3 linked regions of the Saccharomyces cerevisiae S288C genome follow. The gene in region 3 interacts genetically with the main gene of each other region. Each region holds a gene or a part of one and is shown on either strand. Other genes may lie near its edges.

Region 1 (2,931 bases), on a different chromosome or scaffold from region 3:
TCTGCAATATCATAAATGCATAAGAGATAATGAGGAAAATCCTGGGAAGTGTAAAGATGGAAGAATGATATTATCTACATGCATTAGAGAAAAAGTGCCCAGTGTGAAAAGTATCATGAGCGAATGTAGTGAGCCAATGAAGAAATATGACCAATGCATTCGTGATAATATGGGTACAAGAACTATTAACGAAAACTGTCTAGGATTCTTACAGGACTTAAGGAAATGTGCGGAATTGCAGGTTAAAAATAAAAATATTAAGCCTTCAATTAATGGAGTAAACTTGGAATTAATCAAGGACTGAATTAATAGGCTTCCTTTGTTTATTTCCGCCATTTTTATCGTTGCATAAAGACATTATATATTCCTGTGAATATTTTTTAACTAAAATGTCCGAAGAAATTACTGTATTTAAAGTATATATATTTTCTAAAGATACTTAGGTATACCTGACGGGCAGTCCTTTTTTCATCACAGAATAATTTTCGGTAAAGGATCATTCATTTCCATAGGTAGGAGAAGTAATACTTCAAATTATTTCAAAACTTTGCAACGGTTTCGTAGAAAGTCTTGCCTTGAATTTCGTGTACTTGTAATTCCAAGGCGGAAGGAGATCTTGAACCGTCACTGCCTGCAATGGTACCCGCACCCCATGGTGAACCACCGTGAACTTCATCCATATTGGTCAATTCAGCGAAAACATTCTTGTAACCCAATGGGACAAAAATGATACCGTGATGAGCCAAAGTAGACAAAGAGTTCATAATTGTGGCTTCATTACCACCACCAGTTCCGGTGGAGACGAAACAACCAGCGACCTTACCATGCAAAGCACCCTTAGCCCACAACCCACCGGTACGGTCCCAGAAAGCCTTCCATTGAGCAGGGAAGTTACCAAATCTAGTTGGAATACCAAACAAAAAGGCATCATATTCTGTCAACGTATCTTGAGTGGCAATTGGGTAATCTGGCTTTGGAGCACCGCCAAGCGCCTTAACAACTTCTGGAGACAACGTTTCCTCGACTTGATAAATGTCTGCAGAGCCTCCAGCGGCTTCAATTCCCTTCTTTTCTGCCTCTGCGGTGGCAGCAACGTGACCATATAGTGTGTAAATGATGATAGCTACTCTTGGCATTGTATATAATTGGATTCTTTTAACTAGAGAGTGGTGATGATTTATTGAATATATTATTCGACGATATTTAATTATATGAGAAAAACAGTAAAAAGAATAAGGCCAAATGCATTGATCGTTTTGCCGCTCGTTGACGTTTATATATATTTTATTGTTGTCCAGAGAGTAACTGTACTCAATTGTGGGAAAGGGGTTGCTAACGAAGCCAAGGCTTGCCAATACACTGCGCAGGTGCAGCCCCGCAGAATTATTAATTTTTTACTAAGACAGTCAAGAGACGGGTAAGCGATCGCAATGAGCGGCAATAGGAAAAATTAATAATGAATCAGTCAGCGTCGCAAAAGCCACAAGTAAAACGATTTAAGTCCATAATGTTATCCAGGGAAACAAGCCAGGCGCACGCACCTTAATAAGTTGGACACTCATCAAAACGCATGAGTCCCTCTGTTTCCAAGGCCAAAGAGGTGGCAGCCAATAACTATTAAGTTACGCTAGATGTTTCGAACCACCCAGGTCACACTGTCATTATTAGTAGTACATATATATATATATATATATAATTATCATTTAAAAGGAGATATATTACTGATAATCAAAATAGTAAAAACTACATCCGGAGTATGACAGTCCAACGATTATGTAGTATACTCCTTTTCACGTTTTTGCAAGAAATATTCCTTCTTCTTGCCATGATAAAAAGTTGTATTTAGATATTATCTCGATTTAAGTGGCTCTTCTTTTATTTCTTGCTACTGGTGGTTTTTTTTGTTGTCTTTCGTCCCAAGACAGAAAAAGAAAAAGAAGAATATAGGCAAAAATATAAAAAAACAAAACAAAAGAGGAAAGGGAAATTAAAAGAATAGCAAATGCTTTAATCACACACTTTGCGCTTCCTACAAAATTACGGCAATGATTTTGGATGTAACACGTAAAGATAAATAGCATAGTTCGCTTTCTTTTAAAAGAATAACTCTTGTTTCATGAAAGGATTTTGGTATGGCCCCGCAAAATCATTCAATTTTTTGTCATAATATCTTCTCTTTCACGATATAGATTCACGCAAGGGCGCTCACAGCAATGCTATCTCAATTGTAGAAATCTGCGAAGCGAGCAAAAGGCGCTTAATTTTGAATGCTCCAGTCAAGGCGAAAGAGTTTTTATTGAAGATGCAAGATCTTATGCAGATGTAAGGTTAGCGGTAATGTGTACTACATGCATAATTAATAAAGAAATCTAAATTACTTCGATGTGCTCATGCTCATACACCTAATTTTGTTTTCATATTTCAATGCCTTTACAAAAAATTGAGAACACAGAGAAGGCCTCCGATTTAGAATAGTACAAAATATCTATTTTTTTGCATTTAGGCTCCGTATAGAGTAAGCGAAGAAAACCGCCTGATTCAAGTGATTCTGCTTTTTTGGTTTACTTTCCACGCAGATTGGCTGCTCTGTTTGTTTATTTGTTTTGGGAACGCGGTATTACCTCTCATTTCTCTGAGCGACTTTTCAACTTGGCGCGCCGACATTTGCGCTTTTTTTTACAAGTTGTCAAACTCTCGGATTATTTAAAAAAAAGGGTTTTTTGCTCTTCTTGTTCCCATCTACGGGTTTCACGGAAAAACTACCCCGAAAAAGAAGCACAGCTTTATAAAAAGACCGTATTAATTTGCTTTATTGGGTAATAACGGGGCATTCGGGACATACAATCATACGCTAGATGCTGCGTGTAATAATTAACATTGTAAATCCCTATCTTTTTTTTTTATATAAGTAGAGTACTTTAAAAAGAGTGG
Region 2 (3,551 bases), on a different chromosome or scaffold from region 3:
ATTCAATCGGAGAAACCCCTTTGACAACCGGTTTGCATCTTCTTTAGGGGCCTGCATGGTTATATCCTGGCATGCGTCCACATAACTAGACCATATTTCTGCGCATTCTTGGAGCAAAGGCAGACACTCTTGTGGCACGTCGTCATCATCAAGAAACTTCTGAACTAAATGCCTAAGCCTGCCGAACCGCTCTTTAGCAGATTCGACAACCTCACTTAAGGCTTGTTCTGAGCCCATTACGCTTGTGCCTATTTGTGTAGAGAGATAATAAAGAAAGGACTCCACATACGTTGGAGAATACCTAGCAACTAAATATAGCTGGTGTTTACTTGATGTGTTGAAGTGAGGCGCAAGGAAAAAAGAAAAAAAATCAATGCCCGGTAGATCAATTGGACCAGGGGTTCTTGTTTTGCGACGCCGTACAGACAAGGCCAACTTTATAAAAACGATATTAGAAATTATTGTATATATGTATATAAATGTAGTATTTTTATCAACAGAAAATAGGTGGAAAACTCCCACCCTGTGCTAGACTTCATTCAAAGAGAGTCGGCTTTAACGTGGAGGACTTCCTTGTCTGTGGCGACGTTTTGAGACGAGGAATGACTGGTAGTTTGCTCGGGAAGTTCGTAGTTCTCTTGCACATTGATCTCACCATCTTCATTGAAGTTGATGTTCTCCATCTTGGCAAACAGTTGTCTCTTTTGCTCTTCCGTCAACTCCTGCTTTTTCTTGTTCTTGATCCAGTATCCTGGGTTCAAGTGTTTCAATTGTAAGTTTTTGGTGAAAGGCAAGTGACCACGCCTTTCTTCGAATATCATTAAACTCAACACAATGATAAGAACCAACCAATAGATGTTGTAACAAAGCATGGATGACAAGTAGCCGGTGTTCTGCCATCCAAGCAAAGCATTGAAGATATCCCACCCATTGTCCAGTTCTGGGTTGCAACAATTGACATGGTAAACGGCCTTTCTGATGTTATAAGACCCATTACCATCACCGCCTTCGGAAGCATCACCACCACTGGCAAGGTTGAATCTGTAATTTTCAAAGTACCACGCACCACGAGAGAAAAGACCGGCGGAGATCAGGTACAAGATCGAAGTAGACAAAATCAAGAAAATCTGCAGCGAGGATTTCGAAGCACCATAGTACAACAAATACCCAACAAGACCACCACATATCAAACCAACCACAACGGGCAATGGGTAAGCAGAGGCGTGCGAGCCCTGTGTGGTAATACCTGCACCGGCAACGAACACAACAGCTTCCAAACCTTCTCTCAAGACAGTAATAAACGGCAAAAGGAACATAGCATATCTTCTACTCAAGAACCCAATCTTGAAATAGTCTCTCTTACGGTGAGGAATCTCCACCAACGACCGCGCAATCTTCACTCTCCACTTACTCTGCATCTTATTCATTCTCAACATAGGAATACCCATCATCGAGATCATTATCGTCGCAATCATACAAAAGATACCTTCCCACAAGTCTTCCGCGCTTCCGAAAATATCCTTCTGCAGCGAATAGTACGCACCGATGAAACCTGCACCGATGGCCAGACAAATGATGAACCCGAGTAACACACCGACCCAAACCTGAATCCTTAATTTACGGTACAGCGCCCGGTCATGTTCCCCGATTGCCTGTTTCAAAAACGATAGCAGCACGGAAATAACAATCACTGCTTCCAAGCACTCTCTGAACACAACGAAGAAAACGGCCACGTTAAACACTTTGTTAGGCATGGCGGGAAGTATATGTGTGATGACCTGCTGAGAGAAGATTTCGACAACGTACAATCCGTCGTGTTATGTATTTTTTTGCTCACATTGAGCATTTTATATAACTAAAAGCTCAAGGTCGAACTACAGCCCATCGCTTCCACCGGGCCTTGCAACACCAACTTAGAAATCGGGTGCATTCATCTACGCTGTGCAGAGAATGAAATGCGCACCTTCTTACTGCTGCGACGGTGCTCGGCACGGCTTACGCGGGCGGGGGAAGGAAATAGCGGCCTGGCGTGAGTCGGCAGTCAGCGGCGGGCTCACTGTACTCGCTCGTTTAATGCACCAGCAGTATTCGCGCACTTAATAATAGTATTTCTGCACCCTGGCCTGGAAAGAATGCTCGATGCGCCCTGGTTGATTGGCGCAGAGCGTGTGTCAGTGCCGGACCCGATTTCTTTTTTTCTACACGTTGGTCTGATGTCTCAGGAGTTAGTAGTGACCGTGGTCAAGAAAAAAACAGGACGAAAAATTGTTGAGAACGTATACGTATATTGTATTCTTCTTTTTTTTCTTTGCTGCCCTTTTATTATCTATTTCATTTTTTAACCAGAGGCAATCGTAAGAGAGAGATAATATAGCCCTTTTTGGTCTTTTTTGGCACCTTCAGCCGGACCCTGCTCTTTTATTACCCGGATGCTCGGGTTTTGTCTTTGCATCCGGGTAGCAAAACAGAATACTTGCTTTCTTATTGAAGTAGAAAAAATACAGAGAAAGCGAAAAAGGCTTCCTTGGCGGATAGATGGTCTCACAACAAGCATAGCGTATACACGTGCACTCACAAGCATACACAGAAGCGCGCAAAATGAGTCTACCGGAGATTTTGCCTTTGGAAGTCATAGATAAAACAATTAACCAGAAAGTGTTGATTGTGCTGCAGTCGAACCGCGAGTTCGAGGGCACGTTAGTTGGTTTCGACGACTTCGTCAACGTTATACTGGAAGACGCTGTCGAGTGGCTTATCGATCCTGAGGACGAGAGCAGAAATGAGAAAGTTATGCAGCACCATGGCAGAATGCTTTTAAGCGGCAACAATATTGCCATCCTTGTGCCAGGCGGCAAAAAGACCCCTACGGAGGCGTTGTAAAAAGGCAAAAATTAACGCGAATTTGTATAGTGCATCTAAAAAAAATAATTAAGTATAAAAATAGATAAAGGAAATCAAGTGTTTCTTTTTTTTTTTTTGGTTTATTGTTTGACACTGGTGATTTGCTTAACCAGCGCCTCCAGCTTCGCGTTCGTGAGAGCGACGTCTTTTCCCCGCATCGCCACCGTACAATTCATTAAATGCCATATTCCGATCACGTATTGGACCTTGCGCATGCCGCCCTGCTGGCGGCACATATCGAAACACTTTGCTGAAATCGCATAGATCTCGCCCAGATCGTGTTCGAGCATTCGACCGCCTAAGTAGTTTACCAGTATTTGCAGCAACAGAGCCTTCTTCAATTTGAAGCGGTTGTCCGCAACGGCTTCTCCGGCAACGAACTTGTTGCTAGAGTAGAACTCGCGGAGCTTCGACACGTACTCGGCGCGCTGCTTGTCACTACATGGCAGCGGGTTCCAACTGAACGGCTCGAAATGGCTGAAAAGCCATAGGATCGTTACTGTGCACTCCCATATGGGGTTGAACTGCAGATCCGTTTCTTGTAGCAATTTCTCCACCTGAAGCCACACCTTGTTGCATTGCTCTACGAGTTCGCCCTGTTTGTCCCCCGAACATCGGCTCACTCTTGCCGCCTGCACTGTGTAGCAATT
Region 3 (3,560 bases):
TAGTGGTTTTTTATCTTTTCCGAAGAAGTTGATTGAACTCCAGAAGCTGTCTTGAAGTAGTCGCATTAAAAAAGATGGCACCCGAGTCTAGGCCAAGCCATAGTCATGTTATGATAGGATTTTATAAGACAAATATTATAAAGAAGTTTAATAATAATACAAAAAGATACAAAAAAACTTGAAGATATTCTGAATAAAAAAAAAAAGAATAAACATTTGGAGCAAAAGAAGAGTAGGTTAGGTAAAGGAGGCATTAATTAAAACAGCAGTTCTGTATTCAAAGCATCTTGCAATTCTTCTATAGAGACGCTTATATCCATATTATTTTTTTGTTCCTGTGCTACATTATGATTTGATATTCGTTCTTCATTCATGCCCTTATTCTTTCTCCCCCTCTTACTTTGAAAAGATTCTGATATTGTGCTTAACGATGAATTAAACTTATCCATAAAAGATGCATGCTTAAGATTTGTGTTGTTCTCTTTTACCGTATGTGTATCTGATCGTGCAATGAATGATGATAACAACGCCTTAGAACTTGAAATACGAGGACCATTACGACTAGGAGCCATTGTCGCTGCAACAGTTGGATGACAGTTCACTTGGACATTTGATATCGAAGTTCCAAACGTCGGATTAGATGGCCTGAAGAATGAGGCGGAGAAACTTCCCAGATTGAGCGACTTAGAAGGTGCTGGTTTGTTAGATAGTATACTTTCGTGAGAGTTATATCTCCTTAAAGGTTCGAATTCAGCACCCTTTGCGGTCACACCAACATGTGGAGGGGTACTTATGTTTGGTAGAATGATAGTATCTTGATCAGAATCAAAATCTTCATCATCCATTTCATCAAAGAAGGTCAACGAAAGTCTTTGTCTATTTTTGAAGAAAGACTCATACGTATCCGAGGAAGACGGTTTCTTACTTTTGTTCAAGCCAGTATCATGTGATTTGGCTGCACGTAAAGTGCGATTTCTTGCAGGTTGTTTTTTAGGTGAGCACGGTAAAGAGTTAGTTTTCGAAGGACAATCGACTTCATTGATGGGGTTAAAGCCTACCGATTTTTTTGGTGGTTTCGATGGAGTTACCATACACAGACGTTGCCTCTCAATTATTTTCAATGGTCGAGGTTGAAATGACCCTAAACTACTTCTGGTGGATTGCGATTGTGGAGAATCATTAGGCGCTTCATTTGGGACGGTGGCCAGCTCGTTCAACCTCAAAGTGATATCCTGGAATTCACGAACCAAGTCTTCTATGCGTTGATGCTCATTATCCTCTGTGATCAATCTGCGTTGTTGTTCCTTGCTCAACTTGTCTCGAACAGATTCCGATCTAACATACAAAGAGTTCAGTTGAGACATATACTGGTTGTACTGTTGGGATAACTTATCCAATGACTCTTGATCTGTTGTCTGGCATATTGATGATCTCTGCTGACGTTGTATCCACAGATCTAATTGCAAGATAGCCTCTTGCGACCTTATTAAAAGCCTCTCCGTGATATCCTCTAGGGCTTGGGTTGCCATTAATCGATGTGTCCTTGTTTCCTTATGCGAGCTGTTTCTTATCTATCTTATGGTCCCATTCTTTACTGCACTGTTTACATTTTGATCAATTGCGAAATGTTCCTACTATTTTTCTTTTTCTCTTTTCGCGAGTACTAATCACCGCGAACGGAAACTAATGAGTCCTCTGCGCGGAGACATGATTCCGCATGGGCGGCTCCTGTTAAGCCCCAGCGGAAATGTAATTCCACTGAGTGTCATTAAATAGTGCCAAAGCTTTATCAAATTGTTTGCGATGAGATAAGATAAAAGGGACAATATGAGGAGGAACACAGGTATATAAATATCGCCAAATAAAAGGAAAATGTTTATACAGTTTTCTCTTTTTTAAGTGCTGGATAGACAAGAGACAGGAAAATTAACCAGCGAGATGTCGATAGTCTACAATAAAACACCATTATTACGTCAATTCTTCCCCGGAAAGGCTTCTGCACAATTTTTCTTGAAATATGAATGCCTTCAACCAAGTGGCTCCTTCAAAAGTAGAGGAATCGGTAATCTCATCATGAAAAGTGCCATTCGAATTCAAAAGGACGGTAAAAGATCTCCTCAGGTTTTCGCTAGTTCTGGCGGTAATGCCGGTTTTGCTGCTGCAACAGCATGTCAAAGACTGTCTCTACCATGTACAGTCGTGGTTCCTACAGCGACAAAGAAGAGAATGGTAGATAAAATCAGGAACACCGGTGCCCAGGTTATCGTGAGTGGTGCCTACTGGAAAGAAGCAGATACTTTTTTAAAAACAAATGTCATGAATAAAATAGACTCTCAGGTCATTGAGCCCATTTATGTTCATCCCTTCGATAATCCGGATATTTGGGAAGGACATTCATCTATGATAGATGAAATAGTACAAGATTTGAAATCGCAACATATTTCCGTGAATAAGGTTAAAGGCATAGTATGCAGCGTTGGTGGAGGTGGTTTATACAATGGTATTATTCAAGGTTTGGAAAGGTATGGTTTAGCTGATAGGATCCCTATTGTGGGGGTGGAAACGAATGGATGTCATGTTTTCAATACTTCTTTGAAAATAGGCCAACCAGTTCAATTCAAGAAGATAACAAGTATTGCTACTTCTCTAGGAACGGCCGTGATCTCTAATCAAACTTTCGAATACGCTCGCAAATACAACACCAGATCCGTTGTAATAGAGGACAAAGATGTTATTGAAACCTGTCTTAAATATACACATCAATTCAATATGGTGATTGAACCGGCATGTGGCGCCGCATTGCATTTGGGTTACAACACTAAGATCCTAGAAAATGCACTGGGCTCAAAATTAGCTGCGGATGACATTGTGATAATTATTGCTTGTGGCGGCTCCTCTAATACTATAAAGGACTTGGAAGAAGCGTTGGATAGCATGAGAAAAAAAGACACTCCTGTAATAGAAGTCGCTGACAATTTCATATTTCCAGAAAAAAATATTGTGAATTTAAAAAGTGCTTGAAAATCCAATAACTTTTTCGTTGAAGCATCAATTTGCCCTTGATAATTTTCATACATGTACTACATACATTTTACTCATATATCACTATTTTGCTAGTATTGATTTTTTCCAGAAGTATTAGTGTAAGATTTCTCGAAGTAAGCATCAACATATCCAAAACGTTGACATATTTCTAGGCCGGCAATGCACAGAATTTGTATAAAGGGGGACATGCTGCAGAAATTTGCTCAAAATTATCCATGAAAGAAGTACCAATGAAGCACTAGCCTGTTCAAATTCACTTGATACTCGAGCATAAAGCATAAACTACTGCTTTTTAACTTATAATTTCTACCTCTAACACTCAGTGCAGTCTGTAATAAAACACACCAGATATCGTTCTATTAGTAATATAATTATGCTTCTCACGTCAAATTTACTAGCTCGAGAGTTAGTTAATCCTTACTAAGTGAAGAAAAGCAACTATAGTCATAGCAAACATAACATAACATAACATAAAATATAGGTTGTACTTTGTCAATAGAAATACAATCCTATGT

What was found.
Region 1: mutations in CHA1 (region 3) and PST2 together harm fitness more than expected from each alone (negative genetic interaction), as found in Saccharomyces cerevisiae (2 studies listed by BioGRID).
Region 2: mutations in CHA1 (region 3) and FTR1 together harm fitness more than expected from each alone (negative genetic interaction), as found in Saccharomyces cerevisiae (one large-scale study listed by BioGRID).

The regions. Positions count from the first base shown.
Region 1 is NC_001136.10:503,560-506,490, forward strand, and holds PST2 (flavodoxin-like fold family protein), read right to left. Parts: upstream 1,137-2,931; coding exon 540-1,136; downstream 1-539. Other genes in the region: MIX14 (Mix14p), read left to right, coding at 1-304.
Region 2 is NC_001137.3:459,987-463,537, forward strand, and holds FTR1 (high-affinity iron permease FTR1), read right to left. Parts: upstream 1,755-3,551; coding exon 540-1,754; downstream 1-539. Other genes in the region: putative ubiquitin-specific protease UBP5, read right to left, coding at 1-237; YER145C-A (uncharacterized protein), read right to left, coding at 2,400-2,837; RNA-binding protein LSM5, read left to right, coding at 2,599-2,880; cohesin-loading factor complex subunit SCC4, read right to left, coding at 2,982-3,551. UniProt on the Saccharomyces cerevisiae protein: Permease for high affinity iron uptake.
Region 3 is NC_001135.5:15,259-18,818, reverse strand, and holds CHA1 (L-serine/L-threonine ammonia-lyase CHA1), read left to right. Parts: upstream 1-1,938; coding exon 1,939-3,021; downstream 3,022-3,560. Other genes in the region: chromatin-modulating protein MRC1, read left to right, coding at 1-3; VAC17 (Vac17p), read right to left, coding at 258-1,529.